Rhinolophus ferrumequinum: one gene and its partners. The protein of the gene in region 3 interacts with the protein of the main gene of each other region in a pairwise test. Links are inferred from orthologs where the notes say so. Each region holds a gene or a part of one and is shown on either strand. Other genes may lie near its edges.

Evidence for each region. The genes of interacting proteins can lie anywhere in the genome.
Region 1: the proteins of TLE5 (region 3) and SMARCB1 interact in binary tests that used the Homo sapiens proteins (3 or more experiments, as listed by UniProt). The link is inferred for Rhinolophus ferrumequinum from reciprocal best matches to the Homo sapiens genes TLE5 and SMARCB1.
Region 2: the proteins of TLE5 (region 3) and CCNK interact in binary tests that used the Homo sapiens proteins (3 or more experiments, as listed by UniProt). The two-hybrid records come from large-scale screens. The link is inferred for Rhinolophus ferrumequinum from reciprocal best matches to the Homo sapiens genes TLE5 and CCNK.

What each region holds. Positions count from the first base shown.
Region 1 is NC_046308.1:22,690,426-22,697,914, forward strand, and holds the start of SMARCB1 (SWI/SNF-related matrix-associated actin-dependent regulator of chromatin subfamily B member 1), read right to left. Parts: upstream 3,047-7,489; 5' UTR 2,843-3,046; coding exon 2,750-2,842; intron 1-2,749. Other genes in the region: MMP11 (stromelysin-3), read right to left, coding at 4,893-5,026, 5,977-6,234, 6,892-7,108, 7,233-7,474.
Region 2 is NC_046289.1:4,748,201-4,755,579, forward strand, and holds the start of CCNK (cyclin-K), read right to left. Parts: upstream 3,047-7,379; 5' UTR 2,932-3,046; intron 2,915-2,931; exon of another isoform or gene 2,686-2,914; intron 1-2,685. UniProt on the Homo sapiens protein: Regulatory subunit of cyclin-dependent kinases that mediates activation of target kinases.
Region 3 is NC_046301.1:60,175,322-60,183,268, reverse strand, and holds the start of TLE5 (TLE family member 5), read right to left. Parts: upstream 3,083-7,947; 5' UTR 2,953-3,082; coding exon 2,926-2,952; intron 1,864-2,925; coding exon 1,766-1,863; intron 1-1,765. UniProt on the Homo sapiens protein: Transcriptional corepressor. Acts as a dominant repressor towards other family members. Inhibits NF-kappa-B-regulated gene expression. May be required for the initiation and maintenance of the differentiated state.

The DNA of each region.
Region 1 (7,489 bases), on a different chromosome or scaffold from region 3:
ATCACCAGATTGCTATATAAATCATTACTTCTCCAAACAATAGCTTCAGTTTGCTTGAACCAAATACTCAAAGTATGACTTCCTTAATGGAAAGAAAAAAAATCTCGTCCTAAAGTTTTTTATAAAGAAACCTCATTGTCTCACTGACTTTTCCAAAATGACCATGTGAATCACAGGGCAGGAGACAGCCAGTTGACTGGGTGCCAGGTGATGTCTCCACCTGTGACCAGGAATCACTTCCCCAGTCTGGCTCTCCTTACTCATCTGTCAAATGCACAGCAACTTTGAAGTTGACCACACAAAGGACCACTTCTATTATTGTCCCATTTACCTACGCAACATAGTATACTTATTTAATAAAAATATTTCTCCATTTTTCATGAATCAAAGATTTCCATGATCGACAACCAGAGCTGCTGAACAGCGTGAGAGGTGACCATAGCCAGTCAATCGTGCTCCACACAGAAGGCACAGACCCCTGTCGGTTATTTGGCTTGAGTGTCATTACCATCCAAGGGTAAACGTATAGTTTCCATTAGGTTTTGAAAAGACATTAACAATAGTGTCCCCCACTACTACCTTGAAGGTCCTGGGGAGCTCCGGGACTCCTAGAGCCTTCCCAAGGCCCCTTCAGAATAGAGGAGACCAGGGTTTGCCTTCCTGGGTTTTCCCTGAACCAGTTTTTGCCTGAAATGAAGGTTGGACTTGGGGATACCCTAGGTCCTCTCAGGTCTATGACTCTGGCTTGGTGAATGCAGCTACCTGCAGATGGCGGGAGAACAGTCACACACACTTACTGCAACTGCGGATGTCTTCCCAAAGCCACTCCACGGCACTGGGTGTGATGCTATGGCTGGCCCACCTCTCTGAGTGGCCTGTTGCCCAAAGGGAAGGGGCCTGGGGGCCGTGCACCCAATGCTATCACAGGAACGACTGGACATCAATAGACAGCATTCTGATCTTGAACCTTTCCCAGACCTCCAAAAGTCTGACAATTGTTAAGCCAAGCTCCAGAAAGCAAACCTCCTCTCCCTTCTCCCATCTAGGTCTCTACTGGCTCGGTCGCAGGACAATGGTCTCACTCAACAGGGCTGAAAGAGAAGACTGCAGATAACTTTCTAGAAGCTAAAATGTGTTACAGAGAAAATCTCAGAGGTCATCTAGTCTAAGCATCTCATTATACACATGAGAAAAGTGACAAGGAGGCAGAACAGAGCTGGAACCAGGCCTCCTGACTTCTTCCCACCTGGCTGCATGCTTCTTCTCAATTTGCTCCACCTAATAAATGAAAGCTTGCTTTTCAGAGGTACCACATACTCAGAATCGAAACCAAATTGATTGCTTTTCTTGCCCATTAGACCAGGTAAAGATTTATTTAAACGATCTGCCCATTATCACGTACTAAAACTCAGCTGTCTTCTATATCCTGCACTTAGGCTGATGAGGACCATTCTGAGCCACGGCAGATAGACACGCACTGACTCCACTTCCCCAGCATGGCTATCTTTGAAGAGCAGCATTTACGGGATAATGTGAAAAAATTATTGCATCCTGCCCTTTTTGTTTAATAAAAATTGGTGAAAAATGGTAACACTCAAGTTCTGATGCTGACAATGTTGGCCTCATAATTTGATATAACTGGCCAGGAATCACAGGGTGATTGCCTCAGTGTGACCATCATGAGGCGTAATTCATTCACGCTATGATCAGCTGTGAAGAAAAACAACAAAAATTGTAAAATCAGGAATGAAATGTTGGTGTCTGATACTTTAAAGTACTACAGGGAAAGGCAGCGCTTGGCATTTTGGGACTTATTTAGCTCTCCAAGATTAGCACTTACCTCATTACATGAGAGACTCTACTGCTTGGTATATGCACATCTGAGTTATATATCCATAATTAAAAAAAAAAAAAAGGAGTATACACTACCTGGGGATGGCCTTTAGACCCAAAGGGGCTAGTTTGAGGCAATCTGCAAAAACTTAATATACTTAGTACAAACTACCATTGAAAAGTTTTCCTCCTGTCAGTGGTCCAGCTGATTCAACAAAGTGCTATCAGTTCTAGTTCAGGATTAAAAATCTTTAGGCTCTTTCTCCTGTAATAATTCAGTTAGTCCAAGATATCCACAGTGTCAATTGCTTCTGAATTGTTGAGAGCTAGCTCAGGACCTGGGGCCTTATCCACCCAAATGAAATAGGATGGCCTTATCCACCCAAAAGCAAATATTCTCCTCCCAACCTATTTCCTCCCTGGTAAACAAAGATCAAAACACCTCCTGCCCACCTCAAAGGCAACGAACACAATGAGGATGAGCCCTCACTAAGCCCCATGTTTACAACCGGCGATTTCAGGATCCCAGATGTAGCAATGGGGGAGGGGCGCACGTGATATTTCCAACATTATCACCCCCAACGGGGTGTTTCGCAGGGGCTAACCGTAACACCCAGTTTGTCTGCGTCTGTCTGGAGTTGTACCAACTCAGCACGAAACCAGCAGCCCCTCGGGGAGCCCTAGTTCTGGCGACAGGGTACGTTCCCACCACCACAAAATGGCTAAGTAAACCCAGAATCGCAGAGGAGCGCGGGGCGGGGCCTGCCGGCCACGCCCTGCTAAGCCACATCCCGTCGCGCGTGCGCGCGCACCCCCTCGCCGCGATGAATGGAGACGCGCGTTCCCGACGCGCAGACCTGCCCTGAGGCTCCCGCGGGGCCGGGGCCCGGGAGGGCGAGGACGCGCCGCGGGCTACCTCAGAGCCGATCATGTAGAACTCGCCGTCGTCCTCTAGCTGGAACTTGACGGGCTTCTGCCCGAAGGTCTTGCTCAGCGCCATCATCATCATTGCGGCGGTGGAGGCAGGCAGCCAAAGCCGGGCTGCGAGGGATCGGGAGGGCTGAGGCGGCGCTGGGGCGTGCCAAGTCGAGGGAGCCGAAGTCGGGAAGCAAAGGGCGGTCCGGGCCAAGTACTCGCGCCGCCGCGGCCGCCGCCGGGCTCCTCAGCAGCCGCAGCGACGACGACCAGGCCTCCCTCTGTGCGCATGCGCGGGCGTTGACGCCGACGCGCGCGCTACCGCCACCCAAACAAAAGGCCAAGGCGCGCTCCCGTGGGTCCCTTAAAGGAGCCTAAATCCGTTTCTCTTCCTCCCAGGCTTCCTCCCAAGTCTCGGTACCAAGGAAGACTTCTCAGGTGGAAATAGCAATCGAGGCCCTGACTCAGGCGTTGGCGTTCCCAGTCCTACAGCTAGGACTGGAACTCAACGCAATGGAAGAGGAACAAAGTGAGCTCTGCAGGGTGTGAGGAGGCCAGTAGTAGGTGTGCCTCAGTTTCCCCACCCTGAAAAAACGGTGCAGTTGAGCAGATAAGAGGACTCCTAGATATCCCAATTCTCGGCCCGCAGCTGTTCCTGCAGCTGTAGGAATGGGCAGAACGACAACACAGGGCGGTGTTAGCATGGGCCAAGACTACACGGCTTGGCAGGATTCCAATCTGGGTGGTATTTGGTTTGGCTGGTGCGTCAGATGAGTGTTGGAAGGGAGGGAACCTTCTCCATTCCGTCCTTAACTCTGCACTTTGTACGGACAACAAGCCGAGCCCTGCAGTGCAACTAGAGAGCCCTGCCCTGTGGGAGTGGGGAATGACATTAATGAAAGCATCAAAGCATCCACGTTTCCCGTTGAACAATGCAGTAGGTCAAAACCGGCCCACAGCTGCCGATTTCATATAAATTTCGAATAAAAATTGCAGCTGTAAAGGAGATACACCGGGCTGGGTGGCAGGCAAGGAGACACTTGTTAGGAAGCGTCAGCTGTTGTAAACATGAGTTTTGTTCTGTATCCTGACGACAACGGGATAGGGGCTGGGCCTGGAAGATCAGATAAAGTGACCACTGCTTAGGGGAGGATGATCTGAGGGGCAAGCCGGGGAAGCAGGGAACCAAGTACGAAGGCACTACACGCATCTAGACAGACGAGATGGAGGAATGGGGCAGGAGGGGCCCTACACAGAGTACCCAGCGCCAAAGACCAGAGACTTGGGGGTGGGGTGGACTGCCACCCTGGTTCCGAGGACAGAACAGGTCCCAAGCCGGGTCTCCCACTTCCCTGGTACAGCTCCCATCCTAGACTCACAATCACAGAGACACCCCAGGCAGGCAGGTAGAAAATGACTGTTTAATGACAGTTCTCCGTAAAAAAAAAAAAGAAAGAAAATGCTTTGTACACACTGTACACACATTTACATGGCTTTGGAGGGTCTCAGTGCTGGGATGAAGGCTGGAGAGGATTCGGCCCATGACAGGATTGAGGTATGTTGGGGCCTCCAGGGCCCTGGGTCTCCAGCAGTGAGCACCCCTGTCCCCAGATGACTCTAGACCTTCTGGCCTGGATCTTGGGGAACAGATCTCCAGGATCACCAACTGAAGGCAGCCAGTTCCAAGCACCTACCCAGAAATGACTTCTCAGGGAAGGGCAGAAGGCTACGTGGCCCCGGGATCCATGTGCCAGCACCCTGCAGGGACCTCATATCAGGGACAGAGCAAGGGCTCCAGCTCCCTCAGCCCTGCTGAGGTCCTTTCCTGAGGGACGAAGATGGAGAGCGAAGGCAGCCGGGTTTGACCGTGACCTGCACAGGTAGGGTGGAACCGGTCCAAGACCACCCTCACCCTTGATGCCAAAGCCTCCCTGCTCAGTCTGAGACAGTTGCTGGCAGGTGACCACGACCTGCGTGGCCCTTCCTGCACTTGTCATGGTGGGAGCCACCCCTCCCCACCCCCCTGAGGAGCCACAGGCTCTGTCCTATGCCTGGTGCTCACAGCCACAAAGATGGCCATGGGTCTCTAGGCAACGTCAGTGGCCTGGCAGGGGTGAGGGGCCCTGAGGGCATCCAAGCAGTGGTTAGTGGAAAGTGTTGGCAGGCTCTGTACAGCCAAAGAAGTCGGGGCCCACGAGGCGGGGAAAGCCCTCCAGGGCCTTCACCTTCACTGGGTCAAACTTCCAGTAGAGGAGGCCACGCAGGAAGTAGGCGTAACCTGAGGAGAGAAGAGGGTCAGGCCTGGGTGAGTGGACACCGGGCCTCTCACCTGCTCACCAGGCTATGCCTAGGGATGGGCACGGGGAGGTCCGGGTGGGCAGGCTTGGCCACCACTGAGTTCCTTGAAACCTGCAGGCCTTAGGACGGCCCTTCCAGAAGCTCCATTCCCTTGGGGGAGTCCTGCCCAGAGTCTGGACTAGGCTACGACCCAGCCTGACAGCTGCTGAGAGCCTCAGACGTCCAATTCCAACATCTCAGGAAGGCAAGTCCTGTTTCCCTCTTCACCCCTCCCTCTACCTCACTTTATTCCCACACCCACCAGCCAGATACCGATGGGTATCTTGAGTTATGGAGGGTGATAGAGGCAACCTGGAGCCCCAGAGCCTGAGACCACCACAGGACAGCTTTCCCAGCAGGTCCCAGTGTGGGAAAGCACAGAAGCAAAGGGGGAAGGGGGCACAGGTGAGGGCAATGGACTATGAGTCCCCAGTCTAGTCCTTGGAGATTATAGGAGGCTGGACAGCTCAGCAGGGACTGCCTGGGTGGGGGTTCCTGGTTACCCACTATCCACTTGGGTGGCCCTGGCTAGGGACCTCATCACCTGAATCTGTTTGCTCTTCTGCAAACTGGGTTCCTAACAGGTGCTACGTCAGAGAATTGCATGAGACAGGTAGGGAGCTTAGGTGCCGGGAGCATTGTCAGTCGTGTGTGCAGTGGTTATTATTTTACCAGCCATGGCTGGGGCCTGGGCAAGTCCTTGCTCCTGTCTGGGCCTCAAGCTCCTCATCTACAACATGGAAGGTATAACCGAGCGCTGGTACAAGGAGGAGGCTGGATGGGGAGGGGGCTGGACAAAGGCCCTGTGACGAAGAGCTGACATCCAGCCACCACAGGGAGGAAGACGCACCTGCTACACCCCTTCCACCAGCTGCCCTATCACCAACGCACCGTCAGCATCCTGGAAGGCGGCGTCAATCTCAGGGGGTACCCCTCGCCAATCGGTTGCCCGGCGGGGCACGGGGCTGTCCACACGGCGGGTGCTGGGGTGGAAGCGCCAGTAGTCTCCGCCTCGGAAGAAGTAGATCTTGTTCTTCTCAGGGCCCCAGACCAAGGCTGCGTGGACCGGGGACCCTGGCAGGCCCAGCTCAGAGAGGGAGGCGGGCCCCAGGACTGGCTTCTCACCATCGTACACCCAGTACTGAGCGCCTGTGGAGAGGGGAGGCTGCAATGGCCCTGCCCAGCTGCCACCACCACCAGGACTTTCCCAGCCTCAGTTTCCTTATCCTGCTTGGCGCCCCCACCCCAGGGGAAGTTGGAGCCAACAGGGATAAGCTGGGGCAGTACAGGCTCTGGAAGGTACCACGTAGAAAGGTAATTCTCAGCAGCAGAGAGGCACCTGGGCTCCCACTCCTTCCCCGGGCATTTGACTGCTCACCACCCCCTGGGGCTCAGCCCTGGTCCCTGCCACAGGTCTTAGGTGGACCCTTGTTTATGAAGTCCCTGCCACCTGGAATGCTCCCTAATGCAGTTGTAAGTTAACAGCACAGGCTTTACAGTCGCCAGACCTAGATCAAATCCCTGCTCTGCCTTTTTCAAGTTATACCCTCAGGTGAGTCACTTCACCACCTGAGCTGGAGGCCAATGTGTGACCCACTGTGCAGTACTTTCTATTCTACTCCCACCTTGAGAGCCATTGCCTTCAGAAGTCTCCCAGCTGTGCCCAGAGGAATGAGCCTTGTTCTCCCGTGGCCCCAAGCTTTCAGGGCACCCTCTACCTGCCTATATTTGTCTGTCTGTCCCTACCCCTGGCCATGACATTCCAGGCTCCTGGAAATCTGAGCATGACCCCCTGCCCCCACTCACCCTTGAAGAACCAGATGTGGCCCTGGGCATCCTCGAAGGCTGCATCAACGGGGCTGGGGAGTCCCTGCCAGTGGCGAGAGGCCAGCGCAGGGTAGCCAGGCTGCAGCCGGCCCCCGCGTAGCCGCCACACAAAGCCCGCCTTGAAGAAGAAGAGCTCCCCACGGATGGTGGAGACCGCATCAAAGGAGATCTCGCAGGCATCTGGTGGGGCTTCCGGCTGGGGCAGGGGAGGTGGGGGAGAGGGCCGGGAAAGAGCCCACATTGGAGCCACAGAGGCCAGTCAGGTGGGGGTAGCTGGGGCAGGGCCTCACCTCCTGTCTTCCCACCCTCCTGTGCCTCACCTCCAGTGGTGCAATCTCGTTGGTGTCCACTCCAGCCTGGGGGTCCAGGGCTGGGGGCTTAGAAGAGGGGGCCGGCCGGGGCCGGCCATATAGGTGCTGAATGCCCCTTCGGTCATCTGGGCTGAGGCTTGGCGGGTAGCGGAAGGTGTAGAAAGGAGACATAAGGGCCTTTGCAGCCGTGGTGTGCTGTAGCCCGAGCGCATGGCCAAATTCATGGGCTGCCACCTGCAGGAGGTCTGTACCTGGAAAAGGGAGAC
Region 2 (7,379 bases), on a different chromosome or scaffold from region 3:
GGACCCTACTTTGTTTCTATAAACGGAACATTACATCCTAGAACCATTTTTTGTCAAGTTAGGTCTTTCTCATGTCAAACAAGGACAACAACGTTTTTGTAAATTTAATCATTCTTGGTAAATTTGTATCTTATCTGGGCCTCCTATTTCAGTCTGTAAGAACTCGTTGAATCCTGAGTGTCATCTAACATGCTGGCTATCTTTGAGAAGCATGCCTCTTACATATTTAAAGTTGGTAATAAAAAAAAAAATGCTGACCAGAGTAAGAGCAAGACTAGAGCCCTGGAGCCTATCTCTAAAGACCTCTCTTCATTCAGGCTGACATCAAGTCATTAATCAACATTTTGGGTTTGGTAGTCTGAATGGATATAAATCCATCCAATTAGACCTCATCCAGTGTACGTGTATCTGTGTCTGCTGGGATAGGAAGAGAGATTATGTTCAATGCCCGAAGGAAACCTGACTGAACTCAGCGCCCACCCACTATCAACCTAGTACATTTATAACAAAAGGAAACATGGTTTGTGTCACCCAGCTTTTTTTGGACTGGAGCTCTGCTGGTTTGAGGGAATCAGCTCTCCTTTCCCAAATACGCACAAATGCTCTTTTTGCTCCCCCAACAAGATTCTAAAATGGATTAATAACAGGTTCTAGCATCCAGCAGTCATCTAATTGCTCTGCAAAAACTGAGACATTGACCAGACTCCAGTCTTCTATCATTCACTATGCTTTTAGGATTCCTCTAAAGCTATAAACAATGATTTTACAATCTTATCTGCAAGTTCTCTGGCATATAATTTATCTGAGCCTAAATATACAAATGAGATTTAATCCAATTAAATGTTCTTAACAATCTCCACAATTACCCTGAACTTAAGTCTTCTTCATTTGTTTGTCCTTACCCAGTTTTGGAGAAAACAAACAAAACATTTTTTTACCTTCTAGATACTCAGTGAACTCACTGCTTTCCAACATAACCTGCAGAAATGAACTACAGTCCCACGCTACTTAAGGATGGGAATATGCTTTGAGAAATATGTCGTTAGATGATTTCGTTGTTGTGCGAACATCACAGAGTGCACTTATACAGTCCGAGGTTGTATAGCCTACTGCACACCTAGGCTATATGGTATAGACTACTGTACCTGTGCTACAAGCCTGTACAGCAAGCTACGGTACAAAATGAGATGAAATCAAGCACAAGAGAAAAGATGCAATCAAGATATGGGATGCAATGGAGAAAATGATGGAACCAAGAGACGCAGTAAACATGATGTATGGCGTAACAAGCATACTGTTTTACAGCAAACTTTTTTTAGCAGTGTACACTCTAAAATAGCAATAAAAAGTACAGTTTAGTAAGCACATAAACCAGTAACAGTCATTTATTATCAAGTATCATGTACTATACTGTACAGAATTGTATTTGCTATACTTTCATACAACGGGCAGCACAGGTTTACACCAGCATCACCACAAGGCCATAATGCCTTGTGCTACCACATTACGATAGCTACGATGTCACTAGTGATAAGAATTTTTCAGTTCCACTATATATGGGACCACTTGTACACTAGGTCCATCCTTGACCGAAACGTCGTTATGTGGGTCAAATGGTAGCATGACTGTAGCTCATTTCGTAGGCCAAAAATATGATCAATTTTTTTCTTTATGATGTTCAATTTTTACAAATGGCATTTACAGTTTAAGGATCTCCTTAGCAATTAGAATGTTTCTTTATTCCTTGTTGGTGCAAACTATGTTTTCAAAATGAAACAAATATTAAACATGCTTTATGCGTGAATCAAGCAATGTTTGAAAAAAATGAATACATTCACAATGAGACAAAAAACACCCCCTAAAATTAGACACCTCTGATAGTCACATTGGAAAATAAACAAAACACAATCCTGGAAAATTATTACATTTATAGTCAAGATTATTTAACAAGAAAGCATCTGAAGAACAAAATCGATCAGTCTACCAATACCACTACTATAATCACCCATTCTTCATTCAGCTCTAGGTGCTGGGGATACAAAAGGCACTTCACGGAGCTTTCATTCTAGCAATACCATTCACATAAACCTTTAATGAGTGCCTACAACTGCAAGGCACTGTGCTAAGTATCTCTAAGGAGCCTTAGAGCTTACCTTAAAAACATAAAAGGCCACCCGCAAGCTAACTGCTCTCAGAAGTTTCTAACGTCAGACGATTTCGCGAAAGCTCCATTTAACTGGCAATCCAAATTTAGGAAGCGTTACCGACCATGCTTTGTGCTGGTAATAGCTGAAGAGCCTTCAGAGAACTTCGATACTAACGCCTCAACTTTCTGAAGAACAATTCCTTTAGTAACAAAGCGAACCAACCCAGAAGAGGGCCGGTAAGAACGATGTCTCGGTAAAAACGAATCTAATCGCGGAAGTGCCTTTTCCTCATTCCTAGTCCCACCCTTGTTACATGGCTCTTCAGACGCCAAAGCCGGAGTACGCCAGATGTGGAACAATACCCAAAGTCTCAGGTCTAACCAAGGTTGGGACCGAGACACTGCAAAGTAGTTGGGAAGATGTGGGTAGGCAGCGGTTGTGCGGCAGAATGTGCGCGCGCGTTAAGACCCCTGCCCCTTCTCACCACCTGCTACAAAGTCCCCGAACTCTAGCCGTCCCTCTCTGAGAGAGCCGCTACCTGTTCCTAGGGTACGCGCCGGACTCCTTCCTCCGCTCTTGCGCCTCAAACCCTCTCCCGAAGCCCGTCCCGCAGTCCCGCCATCGCCCGCTAACTTCGATCTACACCGGGGGTAGCCGAGGGAGGCGGAATCCAGGAAGAGAGACTCCGCCAGCGGATGGAGACAGTTGGCCAAGCCCTACTCCGACCTCCAGGTACGCGGCGGGGGCGGTGGGCGGCGCTACCAGTGGTCCGTGGGTCACTCACCCTCGCCTCAGGCAAGCCCCTTAGCTACGTCTCTCCTTGCCGACTGCGGCCATCTTGGACGTGGGATGTCGGGGAACTACGTCATCGCGCTGCGTCGGCGACGGAAAACACGCGACGGGAGTCGCCTGTGAACCAATCAGAAGAAAGTAGAGCTCTCAAAGGAGGAAAGAACAGCCAGTCTCCTTTCAGCCCCTCCCCTCAGGAGGAGGAGCCTGACAGAGGACCCCTCCCATAGTTCCCGCCTCCGGGGCAAAGGAAATTCGGGAGCAACCGAACCTGCTAACGGAACTTGGACGCGAGAGGTGGGGCCCGGGGCTGCCCACTCTCCAATCAGCGCCCGGGCGTGGCGTAGCCCCACCAATTGTAGCCCCTGAGCTGGCGGGGGCCGAGCCGGCCGCTCGGGCCCAGGAGCCCTCTGGCCCAATGGCCGGGGAGGAGCCCGAGCTCAACGGTAGGGGGGCGGTGGGGCGGGGCCGTGCCCATGCCTATGAGCCGGAGGCCAATGGGCGGCGGCGGCGGCGGCGGCCCGGGGGCGGGGCCCGGGGGCGGGCGGAGCCGGGTTGGGCCGCGGCGGCGGGCCGTCTCAGGCCGCGGTCCCGCCCCTCCCGTCCGGCCGCAGCCGCCGCCGCTGCTGCCTGGGGCTTGGTTGAAGCAGACGGTGGGTCTGGCCCGGAGTGTGGTGCCGCTGCGGCTGCGCGAAGGGACCAGCGGGCAGGTGAGTGCTGGCGGTGGCCCCTCCGCGCGCGCGGCCCGCGGGCCAGATTCGCGCCGTCGTTCCCGAGCGCTGAGAGGCTGCCCCCAGCCCTGGCCGGCATCCCTCGGCCGAGGTCCGGCCCGCGCTCCGCTGGCCGCTGCGGGCCTGGGGTGTGCTAGGCGGTGGCGCCCTGGGGCCCGGAGGGGAGGGCGGGGTATGGGCGACCCGGTGGGGTCGGAGGGTGCCGCTTGGCCTTTGCCCTCCGGCCCTGCCGGGACGGGGGCGCACTCGCCGCTGCCCCGCGTGTTCTTCTGGAGCCCAACGCTCCGGTCCCCGCTCCGCCCGCCGCCCAAGGTGGTGGCAGGTGCAGGGAGCGCCGGGCCCCTCGTCGTCCACCGGGTGGGGCCCGGGCCCCTTTCCCTGGCGCTCGTAGGCTCGGCTCAGCGTGCGGCCGGCTCGCGCTCTCGCTTCCTTCCTTCTTCCCGTCGTCACCCCGCTGCTTGGGTGAAGGCTGTGTGTGGCTTTATGTTCCTCTCTCCAAATCTCAGGTGCCCGCCGGGGTGCCCCGGGGTGCCCGAGGACTAGCCCCTGCTTCTCTCACTTTCCAGTTATGAAAACAGTCGTTGAAAATAGGTCATCTTTCTTCCCACGCGCCCTGGCCATCTTCCACACGCTTCGTGCCCTACTAGGGAGAAGAATTCAGTGCTTTGGAGTTTGTCATTCCGGCATTAAACTCTTTCTCCTCGTGGCTCCAGCCTGGCGACGCAGCTCTGCCTCTCCGACTGCCACTTGGGGAAAAGGAGAGGATTACTGTCGGGCGCCACTTGCTGCGGGGGGCCTCACGCCCGCGGTGTGTTGACACATTTAGGATCACTTGAAGGGTATTTTGCTTTTCCAAATGAAGACGGTGATGTTTCAAAAGCAAAAATAAATTTATAAAGTATATGGACAGTTTAATTTTGCTTTTACTAGGAGCCTTGGAAGAGTTAACCTTTTGACAATGGACCTGACAGTAGTTTGGTTATGGTGGTGGTTACCCAGCTATACACCTGTGTCAAAACTTAGACCTGGACCCTGAAAAGTGTGAATTTTGTCGTATGTAAATGATACTTCTCCCTACCCCATTTTTATTCTTAAAAAAATGACCCCATTGGTATTTCAAAACTGACCTAACCATCAACCTCTAAGAGGTTTTCCTTACTATTTTAAGGGAATGCATTTACCTCAAGAATATAGCAAAATAATCACACTTTCCTCACCACGGTTAAAACTTGGCAAGACTTGCTTGAACCATGGTGTATTGTGTCTATAGAGGCTACGGTGCCTGCAAGTCCTGCCTTACCAAATGAGTCCCAGGGGCTGCTGTGATTGATATTTTGGTAAAGTTCCAGCAATTTAAGGAGTTTTTCTCTGGCCCAAGAAAGTAGTTTGTAACGCCAAATTCTCAAACAGCTGCAGAACAACCTCTTTATTGGGACCCCGAATAATCTTGGCTTTAGCCTTCTGCTACCCCTTCCTGTCTGCTCTCCTTTCTCTCTGTGTATTCAACTTTGTGAGTTAATATCTGAAATGAAACTCCAGTCTCAACCAGTAAAACGGTTGCTGCTTCTCACCTCCAGCATGCTAACATCTCTCAGTGCTTTTTTTCCTGGAATACGAATGATGTTGGAGTTGATAATTAAAACTTTTATGCCCGCATGTGCGGTAGGAATGAAAGTTTCTGTTCAATTCTGTCAATAGGGGTGCAGTAAGATTGTCAATAAGAAAGGAACACTTACTGAGCTTCTCTTCCTTGTGGTGAACATTTAAGCCATGTTTTAAATGATAATTAAACCTTTGCTTTAGAGGCCACTGGAAAATGAGAAAACTAGAGGCCTTTCTGCAGATTTTTTCCATTCTGAAGTTCAACTGTCTTTATTTTGAGAGCTCTGATAACAGGTCACAATGGACTCCTTAAAACTTGATGCTCTCATATTAGAAGAGAAGGACAAAGGAGATGGCAGCCGGAGGAAAGAATCAACATTAGTACAACAGAGGCTTGCTTGTAGTAAATATTTAGTAGGTAATTATTGAATTCAATGAAAACCGGGTACCTAGTTTGTGCTGTGTGGAATTTTGGTGACAGTACGAGTAAAAATCTTACCTCCTAGCTCAGGGTTACTCTACATTGTTTTTAATTCGATGTCAGTTTAGTTTGAGGCTTTCCAAGTCTCTTAAAACGTTTCAATTACATACTCTCCTTTTTTCTTATCACTAATCTGAAGTAGCTTTTAGAAATGTAACTAATAATAGTGTGTCTTTTTTTGTGTGGTTTGATGACTATCTTTCACTGGGAGGGTTTTTATCTTTAGAAACTGGTTTGTCTGCCCCTGGCTACTGTGCATCGTGCTTCTGTTGGGGCGTGGGGAGGAAGAGTTTCAAGTGTGTTTCCTCTCCTTGGACCTAAATCCTGGGAATGGGGCCTCCCCTTTCCCCTGCGGAGGAGCAGTCATTTATTACTATGGCATTAAACATTTTTAACAGAAGAGTGAATATATCTTTATTATGTTATTTTGGAAGTTGCTTGTGGCCGGTTATTTTTTCAATTAGCTAGCATTCTAATTGAGGCCAATGTTTTGATGTCCTGTGTGCAACCTTTTTCTCTTGCTGTAGTCATAGCAGTGTTCATCTTGGCTATCTGTTCGTCCTGAGTCACATTTAGCCAGTTAAGAGGACTAAGGAGTCCTTGCTTTTAAATTTTTCTAGTTTTCACTTCTGTTGCGTTTACAGGTGTACCTTACTTGGCAAAATTGACTTCTGTACATTGGATTTCCTTTTATCATCTCACTTTCCGATTCATAAAGTTGGAGATGTCAATCAAGTGTTTTTATCTGCAGATATAATTAATTTACATAATGTAAATTTACATAAAGTAAAAATAACTTTCTAACACTATTAATATGCACACTATATTTTTCTATTATAAAGGAGTTGAGACTTGGTTTTTGGTTTTTTTTCAAGTCACTTAGTTGTCTTAAAAAGCTTAATTAGTACAACTGGAAAGTTAGAAGTCTTGCTTTCTCTTGTTTAATTCACCTAGTAACTCAAGCCAGAGATTAGCTGTGTAGACTCCATTTCTAGGTGGTGAGTTTTCTCCAGGTTTTGGAAATAAACAGATGGTAAGACAAGAGGTACAAACACAGGCAATTTTCAACTGAAATTGACAATTTTCAATTGAAATAAGTTTGGAAGAAAAATGACTCCAAATGATTATAAAATTCATATCCTAAAGTTAAAACTTTGAAATTCTTTCTTAAGTACTTTCCAAGTTGAAGTTAATTGATAATCAAGATAAGTCTAACCACTCTTGGCTGACAATACAAGAGAAGACCGACTCTGGAGTTCAGATTTTGAAAGGGATCTGAGTGGTACTGTTTACCAAGCAAAGTGGGATTGTCATGTTTCGCATGCCCAGGCTCAGTCATGGGGGACAGAGGGACTGAGCAGGAAGAAATTCTGTCAGCGTTTTTCAGAAAGATGAAAGAATTGTCTAGAGTATGTAGATAATGAGGTGTCTACATAGAACGTTTAATAAATATGCACTATTTTAGGCTTATTACCTATCTACGAGCCTGCATTTCACTTTCCATCTTTTTAGGATACAATTCATTAGAACATAAAAGGTCTCAAAAAATTCTGTGACTTAAGTGGTTTTAAGGTTTCAAGCTCAGTGAGGCATGACTTCAATCTCAGTAGTTTTCTGTTAAGCACAGTT
Region 3 (7,947 bases):
AAGAGTTGCGGGCATTTCTCCAAGTCCACTCTGAGGGGTCAGGTAGAGAGAGCTGACAGCACAGACTCAAGAGATACCGACTGGGTTCAAAGTTCAGCCCTGCTACTTTGATGCTGTGTGGTTCTGAGCAAACCCTTCTACCCCTCTTGGCCTTGGTCTCCGTGCCTGTTAAGTACCAACCTCCTATACCAACCTCCCGGGGTCAGGTGATGAGGATGAAATGAATTAAGACCAGAAATCCTCTCTGAATACCGCCTGGCGTATAGTAAGCACCCAATAAATTCTTGTTGCTCTCTTGGTCACCCCAGGAACCTGGTGTTTCACTCTGCTAGACTGACCATAACTGTACACCCCAGTTCACAGATGAGTCACAGCTGGGGTTGACGTGACCCCTTGAGTTTTTTTCTCTAATTTTTAAAAAATGTGCATTTGTTGCCACCATTAGAAAGAACAGACAAGGAATTTCATCCCAAACTCTGGCTTTCTGGCCTTTTTTGAGGGTCTGGCAGATCCTGTGTGCCAACATGGTAGGACTCTTCGTTGTAGAGTAGGAAGCCCAGGCCCAGTGGATGGAGACCCCAAAGCTCGGGGGGGGGAGGGGGCTGGCCTACCCGAGGACACACAGCACTGTAACAACACTCTCACCAATGATCAGGGATTGGCAGCCCCAGTGCTCACTGTGAAGTGGGCATGGACCAGGCATGGAGGGGAGGACCCACTGCAGGGGCTCAGAAAGGCCAGCTCTGCCAGGCAAAGCCCCTAACCCTCCACATCACAGGACCAGAACAAAGTTCCTGGGCCTGCCCTTCCACCATCAGCGTCTCTGTCTCATCTTTGAAATGGGCACAATAATAAGACAGCAAGGAAGATTAAACCAAAAGATGTTCAGTATTTAACACTTGGGGAGCATGGGAAGTACCCCAAGAGGTTGGATGGTAAAAAAAAAAAAGAAAAGAAAGAATATACATCCGTACTCCCCTTTTCTTCTTGAAGAAAATCCAAGATCTTTTTACGTGGGTAAACTGAGGTTCAGAGACAGCCCAAGACCTCCCTGAAATTGGTGGGCAGGGACCCCTACTGATCCCCTCCATAGCAGGGCCTTTGAGAATTTGCATTCTTCAACTCAGAAACTGGGTGCAAATCTCAGGTCTGCTGCCACTTCCTTGCTGTGCATCCCCTAGGAATCCCTAAGCTCTCTGGGCTTAGTTTCTCCAAGGATAAGACGTAGGTAATAACAGTTTGTTCCCCTTAGATCAGGGCACATGGCAAGCCCTTTGGAAATGTTAAATTCTGGAACAACCATGCTTGAGATAGTTGGACCAGGAACCCTTTCCCCAGAACTGGGCAGAGAGGGCTAACAGGCTGCAGAACTTTGTCTTTGGGGCAATTTTTTTCGATTATTTTTAATTTTGGTAGGTATGGGGATCTATCCCCCAAATCCAGTTGTTGGGAGGTTTTTAATCATGTGGGGCTTGGGGTGGGGGTGGGAAGCGGCCCTCTGAAGCCATACAGCTGAGCCTTTAGGCATATCATTTAATTTTTTGCCTCCTTTTTCTCCTGTGAAATTGGCTGTTTGGAAGACTAAACGATTTTAATACCGATAAAGTGCTCAGGACAGTGCCTGCCATACAATTTGCACTACGAAAATACATATATTTTTTCAAGTACTCATATACAAAGCAGGGGCCGCCACCTCCACCCTTCTAGCCAACTGCGCAGGGGGCTCCACCTTCTCCCGGGGTACAGACCCCTGACCCCAGCTCACCTGTGGTACTGAGCCTGCAGCAGCTGAAACTCGTCTTTGATGCGGTCGCAGGAGTCCGAGGTGGTGAATTTCAGTTGCTGGGGTAGGTGCGAAGAGCCCTGCGAGGAGGGGGCGTCCCGGGTCAGGGCTGGGCCGCCGGGTCGGCCGTTCACTTCCCTCTTGGGCGCCGGGAGGCAGCGGCCAGGGCAGCGGCAGCGCCCCCCCGACACTGCCCCATTTCCCGGGCCCCTGTTTACAGCCCCTGGCGCGGCCCCCGCCCTCGCTTCCTGCCCCCGCCTCTCCCGGGGAAGTGGAGGGGGTGGGTGCGCCTGGAGCCGCTCCGTCCCCCGCCACCCCCAGGCTGTGGGGGTGCGTTTCAAGGCCCGCCCTTGGTGGGGGGCAGGGTGCGCCCTCTACCGCCGCTCCAATGCTCCGGTGGGGGTGCACATCGGAGCGCCCCAAGTGCCTCGGGGAGGGGACAACGTGTCCTAGGGAGTCCCCGTCCCCAAGTGGGGGGTAGCGAGGTCTCTCTGCAAAGTCCTTTAAGAGAGGGCCCTCTCAGCGCCCGAAATTTTCCGTGGGGGCTCCATCCCAGATTCCCAGTACCCTCCCAACAGGCCGCTCTCTTCCGGGAGAGATGCACCTCGGATCAACCCCCACTCCCAGGCCCCGAAAGCAGCCCCGGCGTTAGAGGTGCCTGGTGGGGCTCCCGGGGAGCCCCAGGCCCGAGGCCAAGGCTGCCCAGGCCCAGCCTGGCTTGGTGGGGGGCGGGCCGCAGGGCCCAGGGACTGGGGGAGTCGGGCCGGGAGCTGGAGAGGACCCCGCCTGAAGCTTGGGGGAGTCCGGGCCGGGAGCTGGAGGGGGACAAGGAGCTACAGTGGGAGGGAAGACCAGCGCTGGGCCCAGAGCTGGAGGGGACCGGGCCCTGGAGTTGGGGGGAGGTGCCGAGCAAGGAGGGACCTGGGGGGGGGGACGCATGGCAGGGCTCGGATCTGGGGGGAGGATGGCCCGGCGGGGAACTGGGGGGCGCAGGGCTCGGACCCGGAGTGGGGGTGCCAGGTGCGGATCTGGGGGGCCGCAGGGCCGAAAGCGGATGGGGGGAAATGGCCCGGCCAGGAGCTGGGGCACGCGCAGGGCCCAGACCTGGGGGGGGGGGACGCCGGGCCGCGGTCCCCGCTTACCGAATGCCTGCTTTGTGGAAACATCATGTCAGTCGCCGCGGGGGGCGCGGGCTGCGCCCCGGCTGTGCGCCCCGGCTCGGGCGGCTCGGGGCGCCGGGCGGTCGCGCCTTTGTCCCGGCGCCGATCGGCAGCTCCCGGGGCTGCTGCCGCCGCCTCCCGCGCCCGGCCTCACCCGCTTCCTGCGCCCCCTCCCTGCGCGCCCGGCCCCGGCGCGCCCCGGGCCCCGCTTCCTGCGCGCCCGGCGCCCCTCCCCGCCCCTCCCGCCGCCCGCCTCCCCGCACGCCCGGCCGCCGCTCCTATTGTCTAATGGCGGCAACGCCGGCAGTGGCTGCGGCCTCGGCTGCGCGGAAGCTCCGGCTCCACCTGCTGCTGCTGCCGCTGCCGCTGCAGCCTGGGCCCCGTGCGCGCCGCCGAGGGGGGGGCGCGCGCCCGGGGAGGCCTGCGGATCCCCACCCAGCCCGCCTCCCGCGGGCCGCCGGCGCGGTGACCTTGGGCCCGGCGCGCCCCCGCCCGGGGCTTCAGCCCCCGCCTGGCGCGCCGGGACGCCGCCCCTCCGGGCTGGGTGGCCCTAGCGGCCGCCTGGGCCTCGGTTTCCCTATCTGTCAAAGAAAGGGGCCTGGCGGCCCCCATCTAAACCGCCGGCACTGTCATGGCGCGACCTGGACGCGTGCCAGGGACATGCTCTGTAACCTTGGCTCTCTGGCTGTGCTCTCTGAGCCTTGGTTTCCTCTTCTGCAGAACAGCGGGGGTCATACAGCTGGCCTCCTGGGAGCCATTCCTCCAAAACACATTATTGAGCGCCTACTGTGTGCCAGGCCCTGCTCCAGGATGTGGGTGTGGGTTGGGGATGTACAAAGTATCCACCCTGGTGGAGACGACTTGAGACAGGCGAGAGACAAATACTCAAGCCCAAACTCTGGCAGGTCAGAGGGTAGTAGCAGCTATGGAGAAAATAGACCAGGGGGAGGACCAGGAAGGTGCCATTTTAAACAGAGATGGTGTCAGAGAGGGCCTCCTTGCCTGCAAAGAGGACCTGAAGGTGACAGAGGGAGCCAACAGAGGTATGGGGTATGGTGGCTTATTCAAGGAGGCAGGAACAGCAAATGCAAAGGCCTGGAGGCAGCCCCATTTTTTCCTCGGAGGAGCCTGGGAGGAAATGAGGGCAGGGAGGCAGGGCCAGCAGCTTCCAGCATTCAAACGGGCCCTGCTCCCAGAAGAGCCTGTGCTTGGGTTCCTGATCTACAGTTGTGGTCTGGAAATTCCTAATTATTTTTGATCAAGGGGGCCTCAAAGTTTCGGTTTGCATTGGGACTGCAAATTCTGTAGATGGTGCAGGGCCTTGTGGGCCACAGGGAGGACTTGAGATTTTACCCAGCCGTGGTGGGAGCCACAGAGGGCTGTAGGCAGGGGAGGGGCTGGACCGGACTCAGATTTTGATAGATTCTCTCTCGCTGCCATGTGGAGTTCAGGCCTCAAGGAAGCTGTTGAAATCATGCACATTAACCCCTGGCAAGTGTTACATACACAGCCTCTTAATTCTCATGTCATCAACACCAGCTCTGCAGCCCTCTCCAGATGAATAACTGTTTGGAGCCTTAGGTTTTCCCATCTATAAAATGGGAAGTTAGGACCCTGGTCACTTTTCCCGGGCAGATGAGGGGCCAGGACGAGGGTGAGATGAAGAAACAAAATTTAAAGACCCCCCTCACCCTAAAAACAAAACAAAATTAAAAATATCCTTCAAGATAAATAATACTTTAAAGCACTATTTTTATAAATAAAAACTGATGCCAAAAAAATTCACGGTGATGGAAGGAGACTAGACTTCAAGTGGTGAGCACACATAGAGTGTCCAGATAGCGGATTATAATGTTGTACACCTGAAATTTATATAATGTTATTAACCAATGTTACTCCAATAAATTTAATAAAAAGTAAAAATGCATAATGAGCAAAATGTCAGCCTTTTAAATAAAGACAGGATCCAATGAGCTGGAGATGAGTTAACCAAAATGCAGGGCCTTTCTAGTCCTGACGCTGTAAGAGAAAAGGAGCAAAGTTTGGAAAGCTCTTCAATATTCCTGTAGAGTTGTGGAATGCGCAGGCCCCACAAATCACACGAGAGTCCCCAATTGGGACAGGCTACAGAATTTTCAGGGCTTAGGGCAAAATGAAAATGCATTGCCTCTTGTTCAAAAATGATTAGGAATTTCAATATGGTGGCAACAGAGCGTTAAACCAAGCTCAGGGTCCTTCCTTGGAGAGCATGGGGTCCGCTATGAGTGCATGAGTCACCTGCCCATGAAGTTGGCCCTGCCCCCAACATCCCCCCACACACACACCACGGGGACCAGACACCCATTCTCCTGGGAGGCCACCTGCGTCTGACTCTCACCTGGGCAGGCACTCGGTGACCAAAAACTCCTGTGTTAACAGACCCCAGAGCTGGACACACATACCCCCAGCACAGTGGGGTCAGGACTAGGCCACAGTGGGGGACTCAGGGCTTTGCCTTTGAAGGAGAGTAATCGGGAAAAAGTAATTTTCAGGAAAATTACTGAAATTTTGGCATGTGGCAAAGCCCAGAAGTGTGACCCAACCTATGAATAAAGTAAATTAACCCACCTGTATATGTGTTTACTATGTGCCAGGCCCTACCTTAAGCATTTTAACCCTAGGTACTGCCATTATGACATTTAAAGATGGAGAAATCAAGGCACTGGGAAGTTTAGTGACTTGCCCAAAATCACACAGCTGGTAGGTGGCAGAGCTAGGATGTGAACCCAGGTACTTGGGCGCTTGACCAGTATGCGTTACTGCCCCTCCGGATGGGGCTTGAGGTGGGTATGGGGGATACTGGCTGGAGAGGGCTTGGGGGCCAGCATGCTACAGGGCCTGCTTTCTGGATGAGGAGATAGGATTTTACCTGGAGGGCACTGGGGAGCCAGGGGAGGTTTTAGAGGAGGATTTCTGTCTTCACTCTTTACATGCTGGCTTGCATCGTTCTCTGGAGTGGGACCGTCCTGGGCACAGTGGGGTGTTGAATAGCATCCCTGGCCTTACCCACTCCATGCCAGGAGCACCTCCCACCCAGTCCTGAGAAGCAGAATTGCTGAGTGTCCCAGGCGGTGGGGGTGGGCAAAACTCCCCCCAGTTGAGAAGCCCTGGTTTAGAGCAACAGAGAGAGACTGCCAGGGCCGGGGATAGAAGGTGTTGCTGGTAGTAGCAATGGGGGAAGGCAAGGCGGGAGGCCCGTAGATCAGGGGGATGCCCAAGCTGAGCTCCAGGAGACGGGCAGGCTAGGCTGGGCCACTGCGCGGGAGCTTTTGGGGATGGCTGGGTGGAAAGAACAGAACGTGGCAGGAAGGGAAAGGCAGGGCGGAGCACTGCAGCTCCGGAGGGAACAGTCTGCATTATGTCATTAATTTGGGGGGAATTGGGGCTTTCCAAGATCTTACTCTCTGGGTAGCTGCCATTCCACACCCCTCAGCCCCCACTCATCCCCAACTCCTTGGGTCCACATCCTGGTCTTGCCTTTCCCTGGGGTTCTCAGGGCCACATCTGAGGCCAAATTGAGGCGGGGATCTGTCTCATGTCAGCAACCGGCTGAGACCAGCCTCGCAGCCAGCTTACAAATGAGCACTGGGCCCCGTGGCCTCCCGGCAGAGCCAGTCGCTGGCTGGCGCGTGATGGATGGGGCTGCGTGGCCATTAATCACAGGCAGGGGAGGAAACAGGTGGCCGCAGTGTGGGCACGGGGACTCCCTCTGATAGGCCTGTCGGAGCCAGGACCTCAGCTGTCCAGCTCTTGGGTCAGCCCCTGGTCTGTTATAATCTGTCTGGGTGAGCTGGGGCCGTGTGATTTTACCACTCTGGGTCCCCCCCCACACTCCCAAATGGAGCTATTATCCATTCATTCCCTCAGTAAATATTTATTGCACCTACTGTGTGCCAAGCATGATTCTGAGTGGAGACTGACAGCCGTGACTAGGGAGGACCAATATCCCTCCATTTGCTGAGCTGACAAGCTTTTAAAACCTGACTCAGATCCTGCCCCTCTTCTGCCCACAGCCCTCCAGGGCTCCCACCTCCCTGGGATAAAAGCCCAAGTCCTCCCCGCGAGGCCCTCCCTGACTTAGCCCCGTCTTCTACCTACCCTTACCTCGGCCCTCTCTCCCCCTCGCTCACTCTGCTTCAGCCACGCTGGCTTCCGCACTTTTCCTCCAACAGGCCATGCCTTATCCTGCCCCAGGGCCCTTGCACAAGCTGTGCTCTTTGTCTTGCAATGTCTTTCTCTAGATATCACCTTACTTCCTCCAGCTCAGATGTCACCTTCTCAGAAAGGCGGCCATGGACCTACCTAAAATAGCCCACACCCTTGTCAGTCACCCTTCTCTATTTTTCTTTATAATAATATCTGTCTTTGTATTTCCATTTATGTGCTTATTATCCCCGCTGGTGTCAGCTCCACAAGGCAGGGATTTACTCTTTTTCATTCCCTGCACAGCGTTTGTCACACAGTAGGTACTCAATGAGTCTTGGTTGATATAAAAATCATCTTTGTCAGGATTAGGCTGCCCAGGAAAAGCAGGATGTGGCTGAGTCACTTCGGGCTGCTGTAACCAAACACCACAGACCAGGTGGATTCTAAACAATAAACATTTATTTCCCACAGCTCTGGAGGCTGGGAAGTCCAAGATCAAGGTGTCAGCTGATTCGGTTTCTAGTGAGACCTCTCTTCCTGGCTTGTAGACGGCTGCCTTCTCGCTGTCCTCTGTGGTCTTTCCACAGTGAGTGCCCGTGGAGAGATTTCTCTCTCTCTTCTTATAAGGACAGCAGTGCCATCAGATCAGGGCCCCACCCCTATGACCTCACGTAACCTTTACCTCCTAAGGTCCCGTATCCAGATACAATCACATTGAGGGTTAGGTCTTCAACACAGAGATTGGTGGGGACACAGTTCAGTCCCTAGCACAGCTCTACTGCTATCTGCTCTTTCAGCCGGATGCAGTTTCCTGGGAAA